Coturnix japonica: one gene and its partners. The protein of the gene in region 1 interacts with the protein of each later gene in a biochemical or structural test. Links are inferred from orthologs where the notes say so. Each region holds a gene or a part of one and is shown in the gene's direction. Other genes may lie near its edges.

Region 1 (4,241 bases):
CCCCCAGCTCCTGCTTTCCCCACACCTATCTCAGTCCCCAGGTGCTTCTTTTTCCTGTTTCTTTGACAGCACTCATCCAGCCTTGATAACCCATCTGCTGTGCAGCAGCAAAGCGCTTCCACAGCACAGAGCTCAGCTGGTGTGGCTGTCTTATGGGGATCCAGAGAGCAGAACCCAGACTGAGAAGGGAGAAACTCGGCCAGGAGTGACTGTGTCCCAAAGCAAAACATTTTAAAGTCAACTGGAGGAGTCGGAGACTGCACAGTTTGGGCAGACAACACCATTTCACTACATTTCCTGTATACCAGGGGATGAATCACTCGGTTAAGTACATGGTGCACATCTGAATCTCTTTTATTTCCCTGCCCATCCTCTCCAGTGCATTTGCAGCCTCTGATCTGTTTCAGCAAGGCAGGACCTGCTGCCCCATGCTCTCCTGAGGTGCTGCTGTCAGCCTTGGGGATGCCACTTCAGACCCAAACACGAGCTTTTCTTCTGTTTCAGAAGTGATTCATGTAAATTCACGCAGCTAACAGCGCTCTATAAATAGACGGGTGGGCTTTGACACAGCTCCTGTGTGTGCCAAGAGCTGAAGCTAATAATAGCAGCTCACCCACCACGTCCGGGAGCGGGGATGTTCTGCAGGGGGAGGATGGGATGGGCTCAGCCTTGTGACAGAATCACAGTGAAGATATCACCATCCCACGGGCACTGCAGCACCTCTGTGCCATGATGTGGGGCTGCACACATGGCCTTGCTGCCCAGCAGTGTGGCATGGCACAAGGTTTCCCCCTGTGTGGCACTGCTCTGCTTCCCACTGCTGCTTTGCATAGTGCTGCCAGGGCTGGGGAAGCAAACATATCACATATCCCTGGATGGTGCCATCCTGTGGCACTGGGAGCAGTGTCTCTGCTTTCTGACGTGGCTTACAATGAGAATACAGCCTTAATAATCACCTGTGCTGGAAATAGCATTGGAAAGAAAAAAGACTGCGAGTGGCAAGGGGCAAAGTGACCCCAACTGGCAGCAAAAGGACTGAACCCCCTCTGCTATGGGCACAGCAGCTCAGGGTCTGTGGGATGCACAGAGGACTGGGGGGGGGGAGGGGGGGGTGTGATGGGCGTGGGAGCATCACTGTTAGGCAAACCCAAAAAGTCACTCCAATCGAACTGCAGAATTTGGATTGAAAACTGGAATATCTGAGCTGTGCTTTGCAAGGGAAAAACCTTCAGGGTTTCCTCTGCCGCAATCTCAAGAAATTCCACAGCTGCCTCTGCGTGGGGGGAGCGCTGCTGCCTCCGTGTGGGGGTGGGGAGGGCTGCAGCCCCCTGCTCTGCAATACCCCCCCCACCTCCCCTTGTGCGTGAACGGGATTCAATTCCTTTAAGGCTGCGTTTGCAGAGCCTGGGGCTTGGGGACCTGCAGCCCCACCCCAGGGCTCTGGAGCTGCCCGAAGGGGCACAGGGGATGTACCCAGAGGTATTTTTTATCCCTCATTGCTGCCACTCGGTTGCAGGAGGAAATGCGGATCTGCCAAAGGAAACAAACACCGTTCCTGTTTTCAAGAAGCAGGACAGGGAAAGGAAAGAAAAAAAGCAAGACTGTTCTGAATGCCTCCAAAAATCCTCCCTGCTGCTGTCTGCACCCATCTTTGGGGCACCGACGTCGTCGGACGCCAGTGGGAGAGCTCTTGAGGCTGCCCCCCACCGCCCCCAAGAGCTGCCATTGCTTTTCATCATCGCAGTTTTCCTTAATAAGTCCAGAGTTCGCTTCGAGTCACTTCTGGCTCTGCCTGACAGCGCTGCTCGCTTCCACGACAGCAGTTACTCGTGTACCCCGCAGCACGCCCGAAGCTTTCGTGGCACCCGGTTCTCGGCACGGACACCGCTGCGCCCCGACGTGCCCCGCAGGGTCCCCCTGTGACACAACCGCACCGCGGTGCCCGGAGCCGGGAGGGTCCGAGTGAGGGTGTGCAGAGCTCCCCATGCCCCTCCCGGCGCTCCCCGTCCCATACTCGGGCACGGAGCCCCGCAGCGCGGCGCTGCCCCGACGGGGCGGGCGTGGGCCGGGCCGGGGGCGGTGCGCGGGGCTCGTTGCTCCGCCGGGCGGTGCGCGGGGCAGCGCGGAGCGGAGCTGCCGGAGCGGCGGGGCCGGGCCCGGCATGCGCGGAAGATGGCGGCGGGCAGGCGAGGGGCGCGCAGCGGGCTGCTGGAGCTGCGCGGTCCCGGCGGACAGTGGCTTCGCGTCCTGCTCACCCTGAGCGATGACACCCTGAGCGTCAGCCCCGCCGACGGCCCCGGGCCCGGGGAGCCTCCGCCGGCTCAGCTGAACGGAGGGGAGCAGAGCTCCGGCGTGCCCGAGGCGCTCGCCAACATCAGGCGCACGGTGCGCGTCGTCAAACAGGACGTGGGGGGGCTCGGCATCAGCATCAAAGGTGAGGGGGGGGGAGTACCAGGAGTGGGCGGCGGCGGCGGCAGGTAGGACCTACGCTGCCCTGCTGCGACCGGAGGGCTCCGCCCGCGTGTCCTTGCGTCCTGCGTGACCCCGGTGCGGTGTCCCCTCCTGGCCGCCCCAAACGCAGCGCTCTGCCCCGGTCGGGTGTCCCCCGGTGTCCCCCGCCGCCCCCACCCCCGTCCTGGGGACTTTGCGGGAACTTCGGGCCGGGAACTTCGCGAGGGGGGGTGCGGGGGGCTGCCGCTGTCTGACGTGGCCGCATTGGGCTCAGCCTTCACCGCGCTCCTTGCCGGGCGCTGCTGGGTGGGGCGGTGTGTCGGGTGCGGGTCCCCGTGAGGGGTCCGGGGTGAGCCCTCACCGCTTGTTGGGGCTGTGGGTGCTGCAGCTCGGCAGCGCTTTTGGGAGGTGCAATCCCCCCTTGTAACCAACCCCGGGCTGCGAAGCGCTGCCGGCTCTGCGGCTCTCCCAGGAAAGGAGAAACGTTACTTGCTTCAGCTAAACTTTATTTTTGCAGTGACGTAGGTGGAAACCAAGGAGCCGTGATCCAAACGGGGAGCTGCAGGCGGGCGGGCAGCACTTGGGCTGCCTTGTGCCTCTGCTGCTTTGCAGGGGGGTGACCATGTGCCATTAAACGCAGCCAAACCTTGCTGTCCCTGCAGGGGGTGGGGGCATGGAGGGACGGGTACCCCGCTGCCAGCCAGCTCCTGTCCATGGCCCGTGGGACAGAATCTAAAATGGACCTTCTGGTTAAAGCATTTCAGCTGCATCCTAACCCCAGACAGTACTTCACTTGGGGTTTCTGGTGCTTCATGCAGCCCTGCAGGGTTAGGGTTAGCATCGTTAGGGTTAGGGTTAGGATCCTTCTCCTGCAGGGTCGTGTACCGCATGGTGCTCCGGGCGGTGGTTCCCTCTCCACGCACACAGCCCAGAATGGGTGGTTGCGAGGCGTTGCTTCCAAGCTGGGCTCGGCAGCCAGCAGCAGCCCCCGCGGGGGCCTCTTGACAGCTGATAGCCGGAGGAGCCCTCAGCTCCCGGAGAGGCTCTGCAGAAATCCGAGCGGAGCAATGCTGGCGGCACAGCGGGTGCAGCCCTGGGAGGTGTCACGCTGCCGGTCCCTGCCCGTGGGAGGGGGGTAGGGGGGAGTGAGGGGGTGCCCGGCACACGCTGTCCCAGCGCTGAGCGTGGGCAGCGCCAGGCGGGGCTGCTGGCATCTCCTACAGGTTCAGAACTTAAAGTGCAAATTGATCTCCTTGAGCTGCCCGGAGGCCTTGAGAGTGTCCTGGTGGGCTGAAGAGTGGGGAGCAGCCCGAATGGAGACAGAGAGGAGTGGGGAGCAGGTAGTCCTGCGGCTGAGCTGCTGCTCTGGGGCTCTTTTGCCTCTCCAGCACTCAGCTGCTGCCCCACTGAGACCGTGGGGTCCTGAGAGCAGGGAAGGCTGCTCAGCACACACAGTTAATAATGCAAATAGTGACACAGTTTCCTGCCAGAAGTGATGGGGAGGCGGTCAGGGCGTGTGTTTGTTCAGCAAGGAAATCTGCAGCCACTCGGATGGTTTTTTGAAGCACTTAACATGTGTCTGCCATAAAGCTCTGAGGTATTTGGGCACTGTGTGGGCACTGAGCAGCCCTGTGCCCCTAATTGCTCAGTGTCCCCTCACTGCTTGGTGCCCCTTCTGCCCGCAGGTGGCCGGGAGAACAAGATGCCCATCCTCATCTCCAAGATCTTCAAGGGACTGGCAGCAGACCAGACCGAGGCACTGTATGTGGGAGATGCCATCCTGTCCGTGA
Region 2 (3,500 bases), on another chromosome or scaffold:
TGGCTTAGCTGATGATCTGACCATCTGTGGGCACAAAAGATCCTGGGAATATTACTGTAATAACCTAGTTCATTGACCAAAGTTCACTATGAGTAAAGGCCTACAGATGAACTTTCCCAAACTATTATTGCTTTGTCATGTTGTCCTGTTTACAAATGTACTTTTATGAATTTTACTCTGCTATCAATCATGTTGAGGGTCCAAATAAAACTCTCATTGCAGACTGTTTGCAAAGGCATGGAGTACTCTCATTCCCTGTAAATATTGATCAATGTATCTTTGCCTGTGTGCACGAGCCCTGACTTGAGATGACTGAAGATTATTGTCAGCATATGACAGACGAGTGACTTCTGTCCTGTTAAACCTCTTAGGCATGGAAGTCTCTCACCACACTATTCTGCCAAATTGTAAAGCCTACCAGTAATCTAAACAAACAGTAAGAAGTTTGGCGATCCACTAGGATCTTATCAATGTTATAAAGCATGCTGAATACATATTAAAATAAAGGGCCTATTGTGCCCTGAGGAATGAGATAGTTGCTCTTCATTTCTGCTAGAACTCAGGATCAATTTTAAGGTGTTTGACTGGTTCACTAAAATTTAATAAATTCAATACACTGGGGGAACTGCGTAATTTGTTTCTTGCAGGATATTTGTAATTCACTTACATTTTATTTATGCTTCTTTCTATCACAGCTTAGTAATGATGAATTTTCTAACTATGCTAAGTGATATAGGGTTAGAGACAGATAAGACTTAACAGAACATATCCTAACTAAAATAAGAAGGAAGAAAATGTTTAATAACCATCTCAAAAATATGTTTTTTTTTTCTAGTTTAAATAAGAAATAAAAATGGGCAGCTTTTGATAAACATTTATATTTATATTCAGAGGCATCTATTACAGATATTTTCTTACTCTTGTGCAATACCAGCCTTATCACTTCTGTAAATCAAAACCTTTTGTATTGCTTTGATGGAGACTTGAAGTGACATTTATAGATATAAGAGACCTGTCTCAACTAATAGCAGTTCAGAAAGTTGCAAGGGGCATGGATTTATTGGAAGACAGATGAATGTAGAAGCCCAAAATAGTGAGGCTTTGCTCTCCTATTCGGGTAACAAAAAAGAAATATTTTTTCTTTCTTTCTTCCTATTTTCTTTCAGTGCCATCATCTATAATGAGAAAAGTATTTGTCTGTTGAAAAACAGCAACAGCAACAACAACCCAGCTACTAAAGTGTATGGCTTTGCACTGCTTATTGAAAGCCAGTGGTCTCACTTTGCACTTTTCACTGAAATCCAAAACCTGCATCCCAATAACTCATTATTCAAGGTGATAAAAGCTAGATACTTTGAGAAACAGCAAACAAGAGGGGCTATAAAAGCAGAAACCTCTCCTGTGTCTGTGCCAGCAGTGGCTGGTATATATCCTTGGTTGGATGTATTTGCAAAACAGGCTACATGTGACTTACAGTTAGGGAAGGTGAAAAATTAGGGAAATTATAGTATGTTTTGGCTTCCATCAGGGAAGAGGAGACAAAGCAAGTGTAAACTTCACACTTAGCTGGCTGGGATGGGAAGCTGAAAGCATGAAAGATTGAAAGGGCAGGCAAAAATGACTACTAGAATGAAGCAGTGTGTTTCAGGCATCCAAGGGTACCATTCAGGCATTCCTAGCTTCCACAGAAAGCAGCGGTTCCATGGGTAGTGGAAAAAAACACTCTTAAAGGACTGGAAAAATACTGAGAAAACAGACAACAAAGGGATGATGTGGCACAGTAGAGATATATGTATTTGACATGAGTGTCTTGTTATCCTATAGGTCTGAAACTTGAGGAAATGCAAGAAAAATTTGGGGAGGAATTCTTCAATATCTGCTTTGATGAGAATGAAAGAGTTCTTCGAGCTGTAGGTGGGACCCTTCAAGACTTCTTCAATGGCTTTGATGCTTTGCTGGAGCACATTAGAACTTCATTTGGAAGACAGGCCACCCTGGAATCCCCATCTTTCCTATGCAAAGAGCTCCCTGAAGGCAATCTCATGCTTCATTATTTTCACCCACATCAGATTGTAGGGTTTGCAATGGTGGGAATGATAAAGGCAGCAGCAAAGAAAATTTACCGCTTGGACGTGGAAGTAGAACAGGTCACTAACGATAAGCTGTGTTCAGAGGGGACGAACCCAGGCAATTGCAGCTGTCTGACTTTCCTTATCAAAGAACATGAAAATGCAAATATCACAAAAGCACTTCCATCGGGAACTTCCCACTCTCCCTTAGATCTGAGGATTAGTATCAGCACCTTCTGCAGAGCATTCCCCTTTCACCTGATGTTTGATCAAAACATGTTTATTCTTCAGCTGGGAGAAGGTCTAAGGAAGCAGCTCAGATGTGACACCCACAAAACTCTGAAATTCCAAGACTGCTTCGACATAGTTTCTCCTAAGATCAGTGCCACATTTGAACGAGTCCTCCTGAGGTTATCTACTCCCTTTGTTATTCGGACCAAACTTGAGGATACTGACTCTGAAAATAAAGACAAGGTAAGAGCATTAATTTGGAAGGGCTAACGTGTATATGTGTGTAATGAGAGAGGAGTTTTTGTACAGAAAGAAACATCTAAAGTCCCGTGTATTGTGGAAAGCTCAATTATGCTTTCTAAATAGGGTTAAGTGGTATTCCTCTGCCAAATGAGTATTTTCCTAAGTTATTTACAAGCTTTGCCTGAGATGTTGTGAATGGTGACATTGCCTTTGAGAAAATTCTCTTCAGTGAAGTTGCTTAGTTCAGTTTGAACCAGAAGAGTGAGGATTTTTAGAAAATGCCTATATCTAATCCTTAATGTCACTCCAGCTCTATTATGATAACAATAATAGTTATTAAATAGTTATTAAACAGGAGAATAGCTTTCAATATATATTTTTGAGAGACTCTTGCTTCAGGGCTCACATAGCTACTTTTATATCCTGCTTCCCAATTTGGAAACACTGCTTTTGTCTGTGTTTCTTCTCATCTCTCACCCTGCTTTCAAAGAACCAGAGCTGTAAAAGGTACCCGTATCACTGTAGACTAGTTTTAATGTTTCCCAGTCATTTAAAATAGTACTTGTCTTTCTACTTTGCCTCTTCCTTCAGTGTTTCAGAAGAGTTACTTCAACTAATGTGCCCTATATTGAATTCAGTGCATCCCATGTGAAATTGTCTTCCAGAACATACCTCCACAAAGACTTCTGCCTTATTGCATATCCTTGAATTAATAGAAAGCTTTTTGCTGCAAAGCAAGATTCCAGCTTTATGCACTAACACACTTAATATGCTGGACTTATATTGAAAGTGTATGCTAGGGTCCTTTGGAGATACTGCTGTCTTAAATGAAATAATTATTGATTTGCAGAATTTCTAAGAGCTAGTAACCGAAAATAGTCAATCCTATTCACACTGGATACTTACCTACCAAATTTCTTCTTAAAGGTGGCACGTATACAATTCAGATGGTCTGGA
Region 3 (4,022 bases), on another chromosome or scaffold:
AAGGCAAGATTCACATTTCCATTGCAGAAAGCCTCAGGAATGCATTGAATGCATTCTGATCACAGCTTGGGCTTCTGGTACATAGACTACCAGGCTGCAAAGAGGCAGCTGGAATGGAAGCAGCCTCACAGCTGTATCTGTAACATCACCAGAGAGTGAGTTCTGGGGATTTGCGACAGGACTCGGAATTACATCCCTACCGGCCAGCACAGGGATGAATCCTTTCTTAGGTATTCATAGGGTACAACACGTCCTCATTAACACTTCTCCCCCCACCAATTACATGGCCCCCTTGCCAAAGCATCACTAAATCACACTGTGAAGCTACTGCACTGTTCTATGCATCATTTTGCTTCCAGAATGGTGCCACGAGTTTCATGAACGACGGCTTAAACACAAAGCCCACGAGGCTGCCCAAGTCCTGTCCGCGCGTCACGAGTTCCACGCTCCGAGTTCCCGCAGCGCCGAGCAGCGCTCCGCCGTCACGGGCGGGCACAAGAAGGGCACACGGCCGGCTCCGAGCCCGGGCCAGTCCCGCAGCACCGCCCTCCTGAGGCCTCCGCACAGCACAGCACCGCACAGCACCGCACAGCACAGCACCGCACAGCACCGCACAGCACAGCACCGCACAGCACAGCACAGCACAGCACAGCACCGCACAGCACAGCACCGCACAGCACCGCACAGCACAGCACAGCACCGCACAGCACAGCACCGCACAGCACAGCACAGCACAGCACCGCACAGCACAGCACAGCACAGCACAGCACAGCACCAGCACACACCCACAGCACCGCACAGCACAGCACAGCACCGCACAGCACAGCACAGCACAGCACAGCACAGCACCGCACAGCACCGCACAGCACAGCACCGCACAGCAGCGCACAGCACAGCACAGCACAGCACCGCACAGCACAGCACCGCACAGCACAGCACAGCACCGCACAGCACAGCACAGCACCGCACAGCGCTCAGCAGCGCCGCATACACAGCCGGACTAAGAGCAGCCCGTCCCGCAGCGGTTCAGAGGATCCGAAGTTTCCGCGGCCGTTGCATAACCGCGGCGGGGCGGTGCGGGGCGGTGCGGGGCGGTGCGGGGCGGTGCGGGGCGGGGCAGTCCCGTCCTGTCCCGTCCTGTCCTCGCCCCGGGGTGGCTCGGCTCGGCCCGGGGGAGGCGCCGCGCTGCCCGTGTGCTGACCCGCCCTTCCCTGCTCCGGGCCGGGCCGTGGTTGGAGGGCGCAGAGGCGGCCGGACGGCGCTGCCCCGGGGCCGCCTGCCGTTCCGCGCGGCGCGTCCCCAAGGCGGCGGTGCCGGCCCCGTCCCCGTCCGTGCCCTGCCGTCTCCTGCCCTCCGCCGGGGCTGACCGGGGGAACATGAACCCCGCGGCCCCGCCGCCGGGGCAGCAGGTGATCCATGTCACGCAGGACCTGGACACGGAGCTCGAGGCGCTGTTCAACGCGGTCATGAACCCCCGGCCTAGCTCCTGGCGGAAGAAAATCCTGCCCGAGTCCTTCTTCAAGGAGCCCGACTCGGGCTCGCACTCCCGGCAGTCCAGCACGGACTCGGGCGCTCCCCCGCCGCGGCCCGTCGCGGCGCAGCACGTCCGCTCGCACTCTTCCCCCGCGTCGCTCGTGGGCTCGGCCGCCGCGCCTCAGCACGGGCACCTCCGGCAGCGCTCCTACGACGTGACGGACGAGCTGCCGCTGCCGCCCGGCTGGGAGATGGCGCTCACGCACACGGGACAGCGCTACTTCCTCAAGTGAGCGAGCGCGGCGCCGGGCGGGTCGGGCGCGGGCAGCGGGGGCTGAGCTGGGTGCGACGGGGGACGGAGGGGCCCGGGGCGGCGGCGGGACGGGGCACGGCGGGGTTTGGGCCGAGGAGTCGCCGCCCGCCCGAGCAGTTCCCGGCTTCTAGTGCCGTCCCGCCGCTGCCGCTGCCCGCTCGGGGTCCCAGCACGAACGTTCGCGATCCGAGCTCAGCGCCGCGTGGTGACGAGCTGTGCGGGGTGGGCGCGGGGCTCCCCTGCTTTGGGGATGTGCTGGGACGGGTGTGACAGCCGCGCTGCCGGTCCGCTGTGAACAAAGTGTGTTCGTGACGTTTGGAATTTGGTTCAGAGCAGCTTAATAGGGCTGGGAACAGGCTGTAGTTGTAATATGTGCTAAGGCAGCGGCACCTTGTTGCGGTGGGTTCTGTACCTCTGCTCCGGATTCACTGTAGATGAAGTGGCACTGTGGTAACCTGGCAAAGGCATCGCTGCAGAATGTTTAATGGCTTGAGCTCGAAGTGAGCGCTAAAGGCCGCCTGGTCTCACTCCACTGCAATACAGGGACAGCCACAGCTCCATCAGCTGCTCAGAGCCCCATCCAGGCTGACCTGGAGCTGCTGCAGGGATGGGGCACCCGCTGCCTCTTTGGGCAACCTGTGCCAGTCCCTCACCACTCTTATTGTAAGAACTTTTTTTCTTATATCCAGTCTAAATCTCCCCTCTTTTAACCTGAAACCATTTCCCCATGTCTTGACACAACAGGTCCTGCTAGTGAGTCTGTCCCCTTCTGTCTTGCAGCCCCTTTAGGTACTGGCAGACTGCTCTCAGATCTCCCTGAGCTTTCCCCAGGCTGAACGGCCCCAGCTCTCAGCCTGTCCAGGCAGGGAGAATGTTCCAGCCCTTGGATCACCCCTTGCCCTGCTCTGAGCACACTCCAGCAGGTCCATCTCTCCCCTGTGCTGAGGACTCCACATCTGAATGCAGTGCTCCAAGTGTTTTCTAATGGAATAAATAGTGGAGTTGGGCTATGGGATTGCCCACCTATTTTCTGTCAGAATAGACACATCTTGAGCTCGTGTGAGACTGTGTGTCTGTGTGTATTCAGCCATACCAAGCACATGGTAGGACTTGAGAAAGGCAGGGAATGTTCTTTTCCGGTAAAAGTAACTAAATACACATTTGTATGATTCTATAATGATTTCTTTTCTTTGTGGCTTTGGAATCTCCAGAGATCCCAGTCCTTGAATTCCTTTTTACAGTCTGGGTTGTGCTTGTCACCATCAGACCAAAGAGTGGAAATACATTTCTTTTTGCCATTCTGTATGTCAGTGTGTGGGAGTGCTCACAAGGGCCCAGATTTGTGTCTGCTAATCTGGTTTATCACCTCACTGAGACGTTACCACTGCACTTTGCATGCATTTTTCTCAGTAGAGCAGTACAGAGGAAGGGGAGCTTATGGATAGCAACACTGTGGCAGATTGTTCCTGAATAAATACTTTATATACATTCTTGCTAGGGCTTGGCAAGCAAGTGTTCACACTCCAGCTATAGATCACATAACATAATCTTTGTCTGCCATTTGGCTCTGACTGATATCAAAATGTGCTCACACGGTTTCACCTTCGCCTGTCCCGCATTTCTGACATAGACACACAATGTTCCAAGACGCTGAATTGTTGTTGGGTCTAAAAAATGGTGGGTCCTGTATTTAAAAAAGCTGTGGATAAAACCCCACCGCATCTTTCATGTTTTCCCAAGTTGTATCAACAGTAATGCTCTGATTAACAACATCCTTTTAATATCAGGCCAATTTTTCATTGTGTTAGTAATTTGTTACTTACGTTAGTCTGTGTGTTGTTTCTCAGTGAGCCCTTTGCCCATTTCCAGAAAAACTCATTGGAAAATCTTTTTTTTAAATTTTTTTTTTAATTTTTTTTTTTTTTTTAAAGAGTTCAGTGCTTCTGGCTGCAGTGCCTAACTATAAATCAATCCTGGTTGAACCACAGTATTTTGCAAGCTATATCATTTTATTTATTTTTTTTTAAGGTGAAAATAGCATTTTCTGCAAAAATTTAAAGTTGTTTATGGAAAGTCACATTTAAAGCTATGCAATATTATGTAGGATTCAAGTTAGATCATGCATTTAAAATCCTGTTTGGTCAAACCAAGCCCACTAGGTTACATTTACCACAGACAGTAAATTCAGGGGATGTCTGTCAAAAAACTGCTGTTTCTTTCCAGCCTGATGATAAAA
Region 4 (4,242 bases), on another chromosome or scaffold:
GTGATGACTAGATTACAAGAAATAAGTGGCAGTAGGAGCTAGAGAGAATGGTAGGTTTGGGTATGGATGTGCTGGAGTGTATGAAACTGACAGCACATGTGCATGTACTCAGGGTAAAAAATGTTTTTTGCTAACTCACAGGTATAAGGAGAAATATATTCTTTATTAGAGAGCATCAGGTTAAAACATGAGTCATACATCTCACTTGTTATGTCTGCATGTCATACTTTCTCTCCAATATCTTTGCTTCCTACTAGATGGTCTGCTCTTCTCATTTCACAATACTCAGAAAATTTGGAATGCTAAATAAGAATTGCCCTTTAAAATTTGCTTTTGGAATAGATTTTTCTTCCCACCCTTTCCTCCCCTCTTCCCTTGTACCCACATACACAGATAACATCCTAAGTTCTCAGAAATGTTGGAGCTGCAAAGAAGGTGCCCAGAGAACATAGCTGTGCTTTCCAACTGTGTCAGTTAGCAATGTGCATTTTCCTCATCAGGATCTCAGAGCAGCTCTAGAAAATATACTGTAATTTTGTTTCTAGGAATTACTTGTGTGAGTAAGTTCTCAATGGCAGAGCAGGTCAGTGATTCCATGCTTAGCTCTCAGAGGCAACTTTTAGATCACAGACAAATCATCATTTATAATAATCATTCAATATAATTATGGTTTTCTGTTTTGGCATGGCTTATAATATCTTTAGGCATATTTCATAAACAGAGGTAATGGTTTAAATTAAGTGAAAACTCATTAATCCCAGTTATTCTACATTTGATGAATATCATTACTACTGCAAGGATTCAAATATCACTGCAGTGATGCCACCTAGAAGGCAAAATGTTTTTTCCATTTAGTATCATCTTTTACAACTGATGTTGTGCATATATATATATATGTATATGTATAGGTTTTAATCCTGTGTTGTTTATGTATATATTTAGAATATGTTGTCTTCTAGACCTTGAAGTTCACAGTTTGAACCCAGGAAATAAGACCACAGCATCGATCATATTACTGAAGTGTAACCAAAGTCATCATATAAAGCTACTTCAATTCATTTTCTTTAATAAAATGCATATATTTTGAAGTGTGTCAGCCTTGGATGTGGGTTTAAGAAATCATTGAAGGCAAAGTATGGTCCCAAATTATAAATGCTAACATTCGGGTAATCCAGTGTAACGTTTGCTATCTGCTGGCCTCAGAAGCACCTTTTGGAACTACATGTTAAGGGCGGGGAAAGGATGGGAGCAAAGCAAAACAGATCCCATCCCTTTCTTTGTTCTCATTAAGCTGTGAAGGCAGGAGGATTCAGCAGGCACCAAGAGGCGCTCTGGATTTCATTTGAGACAATTCCAGCCGGAGACTTCCCCTGCTCAAGGGATGCGTACCCGCTCGGGGTAACACCGTGATTCCCTCCGCTTGGGCACGGAGTGGCTGGGCTGGAGCACGGATGCTGTCGGTCCCACCTGCGGGGCGGGGCGCTGCTGCGGCAGCCCGATGCCGGGGGAAGCTGGCGCCGCCACCGCTGGGGAGAAGGGATCCTCGCTGACGTCAAATCATCAGAATGATCGCTCGTTCATATCCGGGTCCCCGAACGGCTTCCCCAGGCCGCGCTCGGCCGCCGAGCACTGAGGGATAGGCGGGCAGGGCAGGGCAGGGCAGGGCAGGGCCGCCGCCCACCCATCCGGAGGTGGATGGCGGCAGCGAGGCGTCGTGCATAGAATGCCCGCCACCTCAGCGGAGCCCGCCTGCTGCCGCTGCCCATGGAGATCGCGCTGGTGACTCTGGAGAACGGCGGTGGCGGGGCCATCCCGGCCGGCGAGGATGCCACGGCCGGTAACGCCGGCGGTAGCAGCAGGGCTCGGAGACGGCGCGATCTACGCCACACCGCGGGATCCCCGTCTGTTCCGAGACTGAGCGACGGCAAGGAGGGAACCCCACCGGCATCACCGCCGCCGCAGGTCGAAGAGGAGCGGGAGGGGCCCCCGCTTGCCCCTCCAGGAGGCGGCGGGAGGCGCCGCAGCAGCAGCGAGGGCGGCATCAGCGGCCGGGCGGCGTCGGGACCCCAACCGCAACCAAACGCACCGTGCCCCGGGCCGGCTTCGGAAATGGATCCCCCGGAGGAAGGGGGTCACCGCCGGGGCATGGCCATGGCAGCAGGCAGCGAGGAGGAGGAGATGAAGGCAGCGAGCCGGGGTGCAATGCATCATCAGAGGGTGCTAATCAATATCTCTGGGCTGCACTTTGAGACTCAGCTGGGCACCCTCAACCAGTTTCCTGACACACTGTTGGGTGATCCAGCAAAGCGAGGCAGATACTTTGACCCTCTCAGAAATGAATACTTCTTTGATAGGAACCGGCCCAGCTTTGATGGCATCCTGTACTATTACCAGTCTGGGGGCAAGCTCCGCCGGCCTATCAATGTCTCCATTGATGTCTTTGCTGATGAGATCCGCTTCTACCAGCTGGGGAAGGAGGCCATGGAGCGCTTCCGGGAGGATGAGGGTTTCATCAGAGAAGAGGACAAGCCCCTTCCCCACAACGAGTTTCAGCGCCAGGTCTGGCTCATCTTTGAGTACCCTGAGAGTTCCAGCTCAGCCCGGGCCATCGCCATTGTCTCCGTCTTGGTCATCCTTATCTCCATCATCATCTTCTGCCTGGAGACTCTGCCTGAATTCAGGGATGAACGAGAGATACCCATGTTCTTGCCCCCGCAAAGTGGAGGTTTGAATGCCACAGCTGGAGACTCCTCACCCATGCAGTCACTGAGTAGCCTCTCTGACCCATTCTTCATCATTGAGACCACTTGTGTCATCTGGTTCACCTTTGAGCTCCTTGTGCGTTTCTTCACCTGCCCCAGCAAGCCAGAGTTCTCCCGCAACATCATGAACATCATTGACATCGTGGCCATTATCCCCTACTTCATCACGCTGGGCACAGAATTGGCCAATGAACAACAGCAGCCTGGAGGTAGCAGCAGCAATGGGAGTGGAGGCCAGCAACAAGCCATGTCCTTGGCCATCCTCCGAGTCATCCGCTTGGTGCGGGTCTTCCGGATCTTCAAGCTGTCCCGGCACTCCAAGGGGCTGCAGATCCTGGGGCAGACCCTCAAGGCCAGCATGCGGGAGCTGGGTTTGCTCATCTTCTTCCTCTTCATCGGCGTCATCCTCTTCTCCAGCGCTGTCTACTTTGCTGAGGCTGATGACCCTGAGTCTCATTTCTCCAGCATCCCTGATGCTTTCTGGTGGGCTGTGGTGACCATGACCACTGTGGGCTATGGGGACATGCGACCTGTTTCTGTGGGGGGCAAGATCGTGGGGTCCTTGTGTGCCATTGCTGGTGTGCTCACCATTGCCCTGCCTGTCCCTGTTATTGTGTCCAACTTCAACTACTTCTACCACCGAGAGACTGACCATGAAGAGCAAGCTATGCTCAAAGAAGAACACAGTAGTGCTCAGGACAGTGTAACTGGGGTAGATGGAAAGAGAAGATGCAGTAAAAGCTCTCTGGACAAATCTGTTGTGCACTTGGAAAATAATGAAGAGTTCAAAAGCAGTGCCAGCCCTTTAAAGAAAACCAATATCAAAGCTAAAAGTAACGTAGATCTCAGAAAATCACTATATGCCCTCTGTCTGGATAGCAGCAGGGAAACAGACCTGTGAGGAAAGGAGAGAATTGTAGTTAGAGATGCAGCAGAATTTGCTGGTGTCAGAAACTTACTACTATATTATTTTCCTACCAATTTTGTTGTTTTTTTGGTTTGTTTGTTTGTTAGGTTTTTAAATCAGACTATATTTTGTAATTTGATCACTGTCCTGAGCAGTCCTCCGGGAATAAATGTTTTTATGTTCTTTTTCCATGACACAAATGGTCACCTGTTTTTAAAATAGATTCAGTAAACTATTCTCCGTGATGCAGGAGCTGGTAAATTATGAAAATACAAAATCTAATTTTTAGAAACTTTTATTAGCAAATGATGGTTGGTTTGAAATGGTCATTTGTAATCAATACATTTTCTGCAGATTATTAAAGAGCTGGGGGACATGTGCAGAGAATGAGTGAGTTTTGGAGTGTGAGAGAACAATGAGAGTTTTCAGTTTCAAACTGAAAATATTCTAATTTATTTTGTGTCTACATCAATATATTTATCGATGAAATGGGATTTCCTATTACTGAGACATTCCACTCCATTAAAGCACTAGGAATACTGGCAGATCAGCACTTCTAGAGTTTTCCACTTG
Region 5 (4,299 bases), on another chromosome or scaffold:
TACATGATCCTCGAGGTCCCTTCCAACCCGGGTAATTCTGTGATTCTGTGATTCTGTGATTCTGTGACAGACTGTGCTGGTGAGGTGGAGAGAAAGGCACTGGTCAGCCAGAGGTTTAGATGGGACAAGACCTTATTTTCCCCTTATTTTCCCCTTATTTTCCCACTTTCCCACACTTGTTCCTCCCTAAATGACCAAGATTATTCCCTTCTTCCACTTCTGATTCTTTGCCTAATTGTAAGTCGTGCGGAACGTGCGTCCCCATCCCGACCTGAAAGGAGCTCCGACATGGCTCAGGGCGTTGGGCTTCACACCTGGACAATGGGGCAGCCCCGGGAGGGGCCCAGCCAGGTGATATTTCCTCTGAGCCCTCAATTCCTTTCCCATCTGCCATTTTGCCCCTCTGGGCATGTGGAGATGCGACTTTGATGTGCTAATAGCTCCGGTGATGGGCCGAGGAGGATCCGGGCAGGGCTTTATTGTGTCTTATCCCCTCTCGTCATTGTCTCTCCGTGCTCCTCTGCGGGAGTGCAGATGAGCTTTTATCATGTAACCTAAGCAAGAGGAATTTGCAGGCTTCCTTTTACACAACAGCGCTTTTTTTGTTGTTGTTTTTTTCCTCCCCTCCTGGTGGCGTCATTATTTTAACACCACAAAAAGGCCCGTGAAATGATGAGCGCACCCCGCATAATTTTCGTTGCCATTGCAAGGCAATGACATTATGACAATTTCCTCTGACTGTAACCTCACAGCCCTTCCCCACGTCTGGGCTGTTACCATTCTCAGAGCGCCCGAAAGCTGATGAATTCAGTGCAGATGCGTGTTGTTTGAGAACACACACACACACACATATATATACAGATATATATAGTCTGGAATTAAAAGTACAGCTCTTCATTGCTCTCCTGGTAGAGACGTGGCAGTTTCCATTTATTTATTTATTTATTTAACCTATAGGATGGGCTGCAAATGAATTTATAACATAGGAGCCAGTTCGATTGGTGAGAGTGCTAATATGGGACTAAGAGCAGCTGCAAAGACACACCCCAGGCTTTATCCCCATGGCTTATTTATTTATTTATTTATTTAATATATATCTATGAGCAAAACAAATGACAAAGCAAAAAAAACCCCCACCCAAACATCCAGAAATCTCCACAAAATACGACCGAACCGGCACCCTACGTCGCTTCTGCTTTGCTCTCGTGTTCGTTCCCGTGCCCGAGCGTTTCTAACTCTAGCTCCAAAAACAACCTTCTCCACGCAAATCCAGCGGTGCGTGATACCATCAGCTGATGCTTTGCGCAGCGTCAGACCCGCAGGAGCCGCCCCGCACCCTCACTCTTCCCTCAGCCAAATCCCATCCTGCACATCCCCCAAAACTCTTGGACGTGGGGTGAACCGAGGGCTCGCATCCCCCACACCTCGGCCACTCCCCCCCCCCCGGCTCCTCCTCCGTCCCCCACCCAGAGCAGCTCATAAAAAGGCGGATGCCCGGGGGGGCTGGGTTCGCTGTTACGTAGACGGTGTAGCGGTGCGTGTTCGTGGGCGGGGTGCGGGTTGGGCTCTGTTGGCTGCGTGCGGGTGCCGGAGCCGTTCACCGGAGCCGTTGGCAGGAGGCGATGGCTGACAAGGTGAGGGATGCGGCCGGAGCTGATGCAGAGCTGGGGCCGCTGCCTGAGTGTGCCGGGAGGGTCGTTTTCATGGGGTGCTGGGCTCTCTCTCGTCTGTAGTGTGGGGAATATGGTCGCGGTTCATTGCCGTAGCGTTAACCTCCGCTGTCGGCTTATGGCGAGGGGAGATGCGGTGGCGGGGCTGGCTCTTGTCTATCATGGAAGGACGGGGAGCTTATCGGGGAAGGTTTGATGCAGGCCATGCCGTTGAGCTGTTTTGGTGCGTGTGATGCCATTAGTGCTTAATTAGCTTCGATCACGGCGTGCCTTTTGTTGGCTGGGTGGTGGTCATTGCCCCGGAGTTAACGGCAGCGGGTCCGTGATGCTAAAATGAGAGCTGTTCAAACAGGCGTTTCGTCGGCGGCGCTGCGGCTTATGTTAAAACGATCACTCTGTTTCTGGAGGGAAATAGAGACGAGCCCTTTCCCTTTTCTACTGTAGAGAACGGGGGGAGAGCCTTTATCGATTCTCGGCCTGTGCACTGTTGGGTTTTATAGTGCGTCTGGGCTCATCCAGGGAGCGGAGCCGCTGCCCTGGAGCAGGACGCCGAGGTGTTTCTACTCTTGGTGCTCGCCCCTGTGTTAACGGGCGATGGGGGGAGTGTGGTAGAGCTGAGACACAAGGAGAGAACGAGCTGACCAAAAGCCTCGCGGAGAGCGGCAGACGCTTCTCGAGCTGGCCTTAAACGTTACGCTACGTGCTGAGGTCGCTGCCAGTAAAGCGGTTGCTAGCTCGATGCTGCTGCTGGGTCCTCATGCTGCTGGTGGGCAGAGAGGAGGAGTGTTTGAGCATCTAAGCACTGTATAGGCCTCAACCTTGGGCTTTTACATGGGGTGGGTGCTGTGGTGTTATTTCTGAGCGTCTCCATTTTGAGAAGTGTTGTGCTAGCGGTTAACAAATGGTCAGTACGTAAACTGTGGGCTCACACTGGAGTGGCTGGTTCAGGCCGTGTGATATCTTAGGCGGTGTGAGACTGGATGGGAGTTGGATAACTGGCATTAGTCAGGAAAATGGAGTATGAGAGGTGGTGAGAACGAATTAACCTTGTTATTACTTGCTTCTGTATGGACCACGTAGGCAAGATCACAAAGCAAGTGTCCTATAATTCCTGCTGCATCCAAAGGAAAAGGGTCAGCTATGACTACTACAAGCAGGGGCCCTGAGGGGAAGGAAGGATGCTTTTGTGTCACATACTGTGTTGGAAGTGTGGATAGCTGAACTTTGCTGCTATACCTGCTAAGGGGGATAAGTCCTGGAGTCTTGAAAGGGCTTAATATGTCTTAATTGTGACATCGAGGTGCTTTGGAAGGTCGGTTCTGTGCCAGAATTTCTTGTACCAAAAAGGGAATGGTTGCATGATGGCAGATAGAAGGCCTGCCTTGTTTGGAGTATGTTCAGCTGTGAATCTTAGCATGAGAATCATCTGCTCCATGCAGGAATATATGAATATATCCCTTTTCTCCAGCATTAACCTTATCAGGAAGAGACCTTAACACAAGACATTTAAAAGATGTAGCTGAGGGAAATGGTGCATTAATTTACTTTCTTCTTATTGAGGCCTAACTGGTAGCTTTGTGGGGCTGTACTGGCCAGAAGCACTTGCATTCCTGAAAGTCTGGTACAGGTAGCATGAAAACTGACAGCCTACTGGAGCCAATTGGAAAATGAGAGCCTGGAGGAGCTGTGGCAGCAGGCCCCATGGAGTACTTCATCCTCCCCTGTCAGCCTTAGGAGAATAATTGGAAGGCCTTGTTGTACTTTGAAAGCTTTTAATTGCTCCTGCAGCAGAAAGGAGTTGTTTTCGCCCTCCTACCTCCTTGTCTGCAAAGCTTAAGCCAGCTGTCTCCTCCCCACCCCCCAAAACAAAACAAAACCCTGGGAAATAGCAGATGCTTTTCTCTGACAGTTAAGTCTATCAGTCCCAAGGACTTCTGCAGGTTAGAGCTGCTTCCTCTACAGTGTTGAGTAGTTATTAAGTTAAAAATATATATATGAAAGATTCACATGTACTTATATTCCAGGAGCTGTGCTTTGCTTTGAATATTTGCTATTGGCTCAGTGGCAGGAAAAATAAATGAGGAATGCTGGCAGCACAGCCTTTTCTGTGAGGGAGGCTCTTGGTTGCAGTTGGCCCAGTTGTCTTCTATTTATGCTGAAGAGAAACTTATGTAGAAAGCGTGAACTCCCAATTAACTAAATAATTGCATTTTCTTTTTTTTTTTTTTTATTCAGCAACTTACTGCTCCGCTAATCTATGCTGTTTCTGTTGCTGCCATTGGATCTCTTCAGTTTGGGTACAACACCGGTGTCATTAATGCTCCAGAGAAGGTGAGAGTTGGGGAATGAGCTGGGGAGGAAAATGTATAAATGTGTTGGGGAAGAAAAGAGCATAAAGGACAGGAGCTGTCAGGCAAATAGTTTTGGTTGTGGTGGTTGAATTAAAGGAAAGAAGGCATTCAAAGGACAGGAAAGTTAATGGGGAAGAGAGATCACAGTGAATGATCAAAATTCACTGAAAATTCAGCTGAACGAAAGGGGTCAACTGCATCAGGGATTGTCATTTTGTTTCTTAGTAAGCCTTATCTTCCCCCTGCCCCTTTAGGGCACGAGAGGAGAGGAAACACAA
Region 6 (3,500 bases), on another chromosome or scaffold:
AACCTCTCTCCAGGCGTAAGTGTGCAGCATGCAAGATCATAGTGCATACACCCTGCATAGAACAGCTGGAGAAAGTGAGTAAAACCTGTTAAGCCCTCTCTGTGGCTTGCAAAGCTCTGACAGTCTGATACTGGCCATTCATCTCTCTGGGGTAGCATAGGAGGGTTGGAAACTGAAATGTGTTGCTGGAAGGAGGGGTCCTATGAGGAGACAGTACCAAAAGGAGCGCTAATTACTCAACTGGGACCCCTGGACCCATTTTGTGTGGCGACAGAGGTGGTGGGTTTTGCAGTCAAGCACTGAACATTGCCAGAGGTTCTGCTATAGTAAAATAAACTCCAGTAGGTTTCCTCTTGGTGGTGATTTTACTGATTCCTATCATATGTATTCAATCCACAGATAAATTTCCGCTGCAAACCTTCCTTCAGGGAGTCAGGATCTCGGAACGTACGGGAGGTGAGACATGAGCCTTGGATGCTGCCTATGGCTGAGCTGTTGCCTTTACAGTTTGGTTGCAAAGGGATCAACTGCTGCCAGCGTGCTGCCTGTCAAAGTGCTGGCATTGCTCTGCCTTCTGGCTCCAGAGGGGAGGTGCAGTAAAGAATACTTCCTTGCCAAGCAGCAGTACAGTCTGAGTGTAAGAAGAGAGGAGACTGCAAGCAAAAGACAAAGCATCTGCTGCTTTGCATGTTATCTAGCTCCTGTATCTGCATGGGAGGAACATGCAAACAGGTTTTCCTGAGAGGGGCAAAGGACCTTTCCTTTGCTGATGTCCAAGTCAATAGAGGAGGCTGTGGCAAGCAGCAGTTCCCCAAGTTTCCCATGGATTGGCAGGGGGCAGTGCAGGCTCATTTCTTGCTTTATTGCTCAGCTTTGCCCTGGATGCTACGGGTGCTCCATACAGCGATGGAAGGTGCCCATGGTGGTGCTGTTAGACCTGTTTTGTCTGCGCTGTAATGTAGTGGGTGCAAGCTGAGACCTGGGACCTCTCTGCTGAGCTGCACTGGCGAAGCACCTGCCAGCCTTTGTAGCTCATCCTCCAGCCTCTTTCCAATACTCCTCAGTTTACCTAGGGGCCTCCCATTAACATAGAAAAGCATTCTTCCAGAATTTTGGCTGCCTGGGTCAGTCCCCCTACAATACTCAAAGACTACACTGTAAGGTATCCGTTCTTCTACCATCAGTGAGGCTGTGGGCAGGGAGAAGGTACCCATGAGCAATTCTGTTCCTCTCCTTACAGCAGGTCAGCAGGATTTTATTCGGGGAGAAGGCATGGGGGCTTTGGGGCTACTTCTTTCCTTGAAAAATACTGTTGCTAGGAGCAGGCAGTTGACTTGGCTGCAGGCACTCCCATCATCTTGCTGTGTGCAGAAACTGTGTCTCACTGGGGATTTTCACTTTGCACTGGCATCTTTTCTACCCTTCACTTCATGTCATCTGGTCAGAGATATTAAGAGATAAAGATGTGATTTATGGCCAGAGTAACGTTATAGTCTACTGCTTACCCACTCTGTTGTTCGCTTTCTGTGATTCTATCTTCAATTTCTGATGCTTCCTTTCTGATTTGGTTCTTTGTTTTATCTTGTTTTGATTTAATTTCCTCTTTTGTGAGCACCACAATTTGGTCTTGTGCCCCTAAGTTCTTTGGCTTTGCCTTCTTAGAGGTTAGGTGCTGGTGCAGATGGGCAGCAGGCTTACTGCAAGAGCAGAGGTTCTGGCTGGCCTGTGTCTGTTTCTCTTGCCTGTTCCTGTGTCTTTGTATGCATTGGGACTTTCACTTTTTTTTTCTTTATATTTTCCCTTTAGCCCATAGTTGTCCGGCATCACTGGGTGCATCGGAGGCGACAGGAAGGGAAATGCCGGCAGTGTGGCAAGGTGAGAGGCTTCTTGGTGTGTTTTTCCTCAGCCTGAAGGGGAGCTAAGATCAAACAAGGGGCAATAGCAGGACTGGGAAGTAAAAGAATTCCTGCCTAACATAACGCTATTCCTGCTAGGTAGGAGCAGCCTATAGCTAAACCAAGACTCATGGCCTGTTTCACACAGTGAAGCACTACATAAGTGCTACTCGTACAAAGTTGTTCTCCCCCTGGGCCCCATCAGTCCTAGAGGGGACTCACCATTCCTCCCGACTCACTATTCCTAGGCAATATAGATGCTCCTGCAAAGAGCACAGCAACCTCCCTGGTGCTGTAGTGTGGTGGTTGGGGTTATCTGACAGGGATCTAGAGGGCTGCAGCTGCAGGCATGTTCTCTTTGTTTATGTATCTTGGAAAGCCCTTCTGGACGGTGAAAAGCTGTAAGGGAATTCCCTAAGCCTCTTATCCTTCTCTCTGCAGGGTTTCCAGCAGAAGTTTGCCTTCCACAGTAAGGAGATTGTAGCCATCAGCTGTTCTTGGTGCAAGCAAGCGGTGAGCAAAGCCCCATTGAATATCTGCTCTAATGACCTCTGCTTTTTGCTGGGAACCCCCAGGCTTATCCTCTGCAGCCTGCCACTACAGCTACTCTTACCAACATAGCTGGGAGCTGCTATGGGAAGCTTTCTTAGTGCCTCCTAGGAGAAGCCTTTCCATTACAAAACTCCTGCATCATTTCCTGCAGCTCTCCTTTCACTGGCACAGGGCAGCTGGAAGGAGAAATGGAGTAGGCTGAGTTTTCTCTGTCTCTCTGCTTCTCCAGTATCACAGCAAAGTGTCCTGTTTCATGCTGCAACACATCGAAGAGCCCTGCTCACTAGGGGCTCATGCTGCTGTCGTCGTTCCTCCCACCTGGATTTTGCGGGTCCGACGGCCCCAGGTAAGGCATATCAGTTCATGTGTTTTTGCATGGCTCCTGTTTACCCAGCAGTTCCTCTATAGTGTTTGGGTTTCGTTTTTTTTTTTTCAGAATCCAATGAAATCCAGTAAGAAAAAGAAGAGGACATCATTCAAGAGAAAATTGAGCAAAAAGGGTGCTGAGGTAAGAGATAAGAGGGGCTGGGGGTGACCTTGTGTTGGAAAGGTAGAGGTGCTGGACAGTGAGGAGCAGAACTGGGAAATAAGGGCTCTTTTCAGGGTCTGCACTGAGGTATAAGGTAGAGGAAAAGGGGTCTGGGACAAAGAGTGTTTTGGGAGTGTCTGAAGATCTCAGAGGGTGTCACAGAGATGAGAAAGGCTGGGAGGTGAGTTATGTTTGCTGGCAAGGCATATCTTAGCTATTAGGTTTATGGAGTGGTGAGGATATTCTCTTCCTTCCACTCCTAACCTATGTGATGTTAGGGCTCAGCTGGAGGTAGGAGTTTGCATTTCACTAAGTCTGTTAATGGACCTGCGGTGTTTCTTGCAGGAAGGGAGGTGGAAACCTTTTGTCATCAAACCCATGCCAGCTCCTCTCATGAAGCCGTTGCTGGTGTTTGTGAACCCCAAGAGTGGTGGGAATCAGGTATGGCCTTGCCCTTCATCTTCCTGAGAAGGCAGCTCTTTGCCATTGGCTACTGAGAGCTCAGAACAGTTTTGGTAATGTGT
Region 7 (3,946 bases), on another chromosome or scaffold:
AATGCTGTGTGCGTATGAGTTATCAGAAACCACCATCCACTGAGAGACACAGAGGAAAGGACATCCCTGATTTTGGAACACTTTTGTGCAGCAGACTGAATGGGCTAAAAAAAGGACTAGCTTGCAATACTAACAGACTCCTACAATGATCATCCTCACTACTCATATGCATGTTTCATTTTATGGGTCAGGAACAGGTTTTTTCCTTTTCCAGAACAGCTTGAAATTTTTGGTCCCGCGGCTGTTCTACACAAGGTAGATTACAATTTAAACAAACAAAAGGGCAATTAGAAGTTGTTTTCACTTTTTTCCGTTACTTTCCTAACTTTATTCTGACCCTCCCTTTGGGGTCATTTATTTCTCATGTTAGTTAGTAGCTTTTCCCGTTTGGGGATTTGGTAGTTTTAGTGAAACATCTAAAGGAGAAAACCAAGCAAATTCTCTCCTTTTTTGGCGAAGAATGTTTGTTCTGCTAATATCTGAATAGAAAAACAACCTAATACTTGGGGCAAAAGCAGGGGACACCCTCAGGGGACATTTATCTGCTCCTAGGCTTGTTTGAACTTTTCAGGGGAGAGTGATTAAATCTCAAGAAATGACTTTTGCTTTGTATTTCTGTGTTGTTGGGTTTGTTGGTGTTGTTGATTGCTTGCTCGCTTGTTTGTTTGGTTTTTCTTTAGAATAATCTTGGGGTCTATACAAATAGAAATGTGTCATCTGAGACTATCCCAAAAGCCTTGCATATTTTCTTTGTTCGTGTCGGCTTCCCTTCCCTTCCTTTCCCTTCCCTCTCTCCCTTCCTTCCCTTCCCCTTCCTCCTTCCCTTCCCTTCCTTCCCCCATTCCCTTCCTTCCCTTCCCTTCCTTCCCTCCTTCCCTTCCTTCCCCTTCCCTTCCCTTCCCTTCTTCCCGTTCCCTTCCTTCCCTTCCCTTCCACTTCCCTTCCCTTCCTTCCTTCCTTCCCTTCCTTCCCTTCCTTCCCTTCCCTTCCCTTCCTTCCCTTCCCTCCCTTCTCGCCTTCCCTTCACCTTCCCTTCCCTTCCCTTTTTTCCTTCTTCTCTTCCTTCTCTCTTCATTTCATTCTTTCCCCTTTCTCTCTCTCCTTCTCCCTCTCTTTTTTCACTTTCTTTACTTTCTATTCTTACATTAGAAAGTAATTTAAGACACATTTACAAATCAACTTGTATTGTTTTAGATGGCATATAGTGGCACAGTTCTAAACTGAGATTTTTCCTTCAGATTTTATCCTCCCCAAATAGATTTCCTGCTCACTTTGTGTTTGTTTGTTTAAACTATGTCTCTTGGTATTGTGACAGCTCAGGACAATTTTCCATATACTGCCATTCAGTTCCCACAATAGTTAACTCCCAGGCTTTCAGACAGATGACTTGCCAACTACTGAGTGATGCCATTTGAAGCACAGAATCAGATGAAGGGCTCTTTCCTTGGTGTGCCTCAGTAATTTTGTGCAATGGGACAACTGCACACTTATTTTTGAGGGAGTCATGGTCAGAGTGCATTATTCGCTCTCCCTCTTACCAAAGACAAATGGTTGGAAAAGGTAACCTTCAGCTTCTTCAAGGAAGTTCTTCAGCAGCTTCAGGGAAATCTGAACAGACCGTGGATGTATCTGGAAGGAGAAGATTCTTTCCATTCTCTTCTCTGAATGTTTTCATGTGGGAATGACTGTAGTAAGTCCAGAACTTTTTGTTCTTCATTTCACTCTCCAGAAAGAAATAGTGTACTGATACAGATATATGAATCAAACACATAATCCAGTCTTTTCATATTGTTTTTTTTCTATTTCTTTTAACTGTTGAAGAAGATAGATTCTCCTCTTCTTTCCTCCTATGAAATTCTACCACACTTCCAGTAGCACAGTTTTTGAGCACCTTCCCTCTACAGCTTTTCCAGAACACTGCTTTAGGAACTTCTGCCACTCATTCCAGTCACTGCACTTACCTGCTTCATTCACGCTCACTTGTCTTCCACATTTCCAGCTATGTTGTTTGTTCCTTCCGACTGAGTCTCAGACGGTGGCACAGTCAACATACAGGTGAGATCATCATTACCATTTTTGTGCAGGTTTAAATGCCAGCCAGCCCTGAGGCTTCCCAGGTTGTTTACTAATGCTCTTTTTTAGACTGTGGTGTCCTGTCTGAAGAAGCTGTTGTGAACATGGGAAACCCAGGGCTCATGAGGGAAAATGTATGATTGGAGTCAGGGGCTCTGTTTCAGTAATGGTTACATGACTTATCTATCCCCAGTAAAACTTCTTTCCCTTGCATTTGATGTTCTTGACTGCTTGAGGATGTAGGTAAATTCCCATTATGGCATGTTAACAGCCTATATAGATGAACTGAGGCACATGGGCAAGCTTATTCCAGTAGTTATTCCTTGGAACAGCAGTAAATCAGCAAGGGCTCTGAGTTTACGTTATCTCCGAGGCAGGTAGGAAGTTAACAGGGAAGGGAGCATGACACAATCCTACACACCAATGAAAATCAACAGAAGCCAGTGCTACTTGCTGTCTCTTGTGGGATGAAAGGAGACCTTCAAAGGGAGAATTTGTTCCAAATCAACAGATCTAACCATTATAACAATAGCAGGGAACCTGAACAACTGCTTCTTGCAATGGGTTGGGTTTGTAACATTTTCAGGGTATTTGCAGTTCTGTTAAATGGTTCGCTATGGTTAAATTATGTTATACTGGAGTTGGACTCAGTGATCCTTGTGGGTTCACTCCAACTCAGGATATTCTATGATTCTATGAGTGTATACTTTGATAAATGATACTTAAAGTTGGACAAACATGGGACTGACTCAAAACTAAGACATTTTCCATTCCCACGACTTTACACTTTGAGGAAATATTGAGCTGAGTAACTACATACTAATTTTACTTAATAAATTAAATCTTTCTGGAAAAGGTATTGGTATCAAGTTTTTGACACACAGCATTTTGTGTTGTGCCAGATTCACCTGAAATACATATGTATGGCTTCAAATTATCATCACTAGCTTTAAAGGGAGCTGAACAGAACTGTCTGGGAACAATCCAGTGCTCTAGTAAGAGCCACCAATCCTGTATGTGATCGCTGCATTATGGGACTTTGCAATGTGACAGAGAGGTTGCATGTTCAGGAGCTCTGCAAGCGCATCTCTGTGACTGTGGTTTAGCATCCCTAAACTGAACCCCACAGAGAGGGAAGCTCAGTGTTTTTGCTAGCATGATAGGCCTAGAAATCTTTAATACTTGCTTAGAATATTTGCAGCGGGGTTTCAGCTAGCATTAGTATATCAGAGATAGTTTTCCTTTGCTAAGGCTTTCAGATCTGACCAGAAAACCAGGGTCCACAAAGTAGAAAGAAGGGGAGGGAAGGAACACACAATATTCACAGTATATTTTTATACATATTTACAGAAGGAAGAGCTGAGCTATCCAAACTTGAGCTTTCCCCATGGATGAGTCAAACATAACGTTTCATCCCAGCGAAGGCACAGAGAACATCTCAATGCACAGAAACATTTCTACACAGGAAAGAGTCTGGGAGATATTGACCCCACTTTGGGTAATTATGATCATCTCCTTCCTGGGTTTTTGTGAAAATGGAATTGTCCTCTGGTGCCTCTGCTTCCAGATCAAAAGAAATCCATTCACTGCGTACATCACACACCTGTCCATTGCTGACATCTCCTTACTGTTTTGTGTATTTATTCTGTCGATTGAGTACATTGCTGGCTTTGGATTCGCGTATGGCTTTTACTACTATATAACCACCACACTGTCTATTGTCTTTCTTCTTGGATATAATACTGGTCTCTATCTCCTGACAGCCATCAGTATTGAGAGGTGTCTGTCTATTGTTTACCCCATCTGGTACCGCTGCCACCGGTCACGGCACCAATCAGCAATTGTATGCGCAATTCTATGGACTCTGTCTTTT

The links.
Region 2: the proteins of SNTA1 (region 1) and GUCY1A2 interact in a test that uses a peptide from one of them, tested with the Homo sapiens proteins (3 studies listed by BioGRID and IntAct, with this or other methods). The link is inferred for Coturnix japonica from reciprocal best matches to the Homo sapiens genes SNTA1 and GUCY1A2.
Region 3: the proteins of SNTA1 (region 1) and WWTR1 interact in a test that uses a peptide from one of them, tested with the Homo sapiens proteins (2 studies listed by IntAct, with this or other methods). The link is inferred for Coturnix japonica from reciprocal best matches to the Homo sapiens genes SNTA1 and WWTR1.
Region 4: the proteins of SNTA1 (region 1) and potassium voltage-gated channel subfamily A member 5-like interact in a test that uses a peptide from one of them, tested with the Homo sapiens proteins (2 studies listed by BioGRID and IntAct). The link is inferred for Coturnix japonica from reciprocal best matches to the Homo sapiens genes SNTA1 and KCNA5.
Region 5: the proteins of SNTA1 (region 1) and solute carrier family 2, facilitated glucose transporter member 3 interact in a test that uses a peptide from one of them, tested with the Homo sapiens proteins (2 studies listed by BioGRID and IntAct). The link is inferred for Coturnix japonica from reciprocal best matches to the Homo sapiens genes SNTA1 and SLC2A3.
Region 6: the proteins of SNTA1 (region 1) and DGKZ form a complex in vitro, tested with the Homo sapiens proteins (2 studies listed by BioGRID and IntAct, with this or other methods). The link is inferred for Coturnix japonica from reciprocal best matches to the Homo sapiens genes SNTA1 and DGKZ.
Region 7: the proteins of SNTA1 (region 1) and MAS1 interact in a test that uses a peptide from one of them, tested with the Homo sapiens proteins (2 studies listed by BioGRID and IntAct). The link is inferred for Coturnix japonica from reciprocal best matches to the Homo sapiens genes SNTA1 and MAS1.

The regions. Positions count from the first base shown.
Region 1 is NC_029535.1:2,063,043-2,067,283, forward strand, and holds the start of SNTA1 (alpha-1-syntrophin), read left to right. Parts: upstream 1-1,441; 5' UTR 1,442-2,172; coding exon 2,173-2,434; intron 2,435-4,136; coding exon 4,137-4,241. UniProt on the Homo sapiens protein: Adapter protein that binds to and probably organizes the subcellular localization of a variety of membrane proteins. May link various receptors to the actin cytoskeleton and the extracellular matrix via the dystrophin glycoprotein complex.
Region 2 is NC_029516.1:161,711,204-161,714,703, forward strand, and holds part of GUCY1A2 (guanylate cyclase soluble subunit alpha-2), read left to right. Parts: intron 1-1,824; coding exon 1,825-2,543; intron 2,544-3,500. UniProt on the Homo sapiens protein: Has guanylyl cyclase on binding to the beta-1 subunit. Isoform 2 acts as a negative regulator of guanylyl cyclase activity as it forms non-functional heterodimers with the beta subunits.
Region 3 is NC_029524.1:21,153,223-21,157,244, forward strand, and holds the start of WWTR1 (WW domain-containing transcription regulator protein 1), read left to right. Parts: upstream 1-1,222; 5' UTR 1,223-1,376; coding exon 1,377-1,762; intron 1,763-4,022. UniProt on the Homo sapiens protein: Transcriptional coactivator which acts as a downstream regulatory target in the Hippo signaling pathway that plays a pivotal role in organ size control and tumor suppression by restricting proliferation and promoting apoptosis.
Region 4 is NC_029516.1:67,514,949-67,519,190, forward strand, and holds the start of potassium voltage-gated channel subfamily A member 5-like, read left to right. Parts: upstream 1-1,442; 5' UTR 1,443-1,764; coding exon 1,765-3,663; 3' UTR 3,664-4,242. UniProt on the Homo sapiens protein: Voltage-gated potassium channel that mediates transmembrane potassium transport in excitable membranes. Forms tetrameric potassium-selective channels through which potassium ions pass in accordance with their electrochemical gradient.
Region 5 is NC_029516.1:68,505,604-68,509,902, forward strand, and holds the start of solute carrier family 2, facilitated glucose transporter member 3, read left to right. Parts: upstream 1-1,499; 5' UTR 1,500-1,622; coding exon 1,623-1,634; intron 1,635-3,905; coding exon 3,906-4,001; intron 4,002-4,299. UniProt on the Homo sapiens protein: Facilitative glucose transporter. Can also mediate the uptake of various other monosaccharides across the cell membrane. Mediates the uptake of glucose, 2-deoxyglucose, galactose, mannose, xylose and fucose, and probably also dehydroascorbate.
Region 6 is NC_029520.1:21,140,665-21,144,164, reverse strand, and holds part of DGKZ (diacylglycerol kinase zeta), read left to right. Parts: coding exon 1-74; intron 75-399; coding exon 400-456; intron 457-1,806; coding exon 1,807-1,875; intron 1,876-2,336; coding exon 2,337-2,408; intron 2,409-2,676; coding exon 2,677-2,955; intron 2,956-3,321; coding exon 3,322-3,417; intron 3,418-3,500. UniProt on the Homo sapiens protein: Diacylglycerol kinase that converts diacylglycerol/DAG into phosphatidic acid/phosphatidate/PA and regulates the respective levels of these two bioactive lipids.
Region 7 is NC_029518.1:40,978,390-40,982,335, reverse strand, and holds the start of MAS1 (proto-oncogene Mas), read left to right. Parts: upstream 1-1,146; 5' UTR 1,147-3,460; coding exon 3,461-3,946. UniProt on the Homo sapiens protein: Receptor for angiotensin 1-7. Acts specifically as a functional antagonist of AGTR1 (angiotensin-2 type 1 receptor), although it up-regulates AGTR1 receptor levels.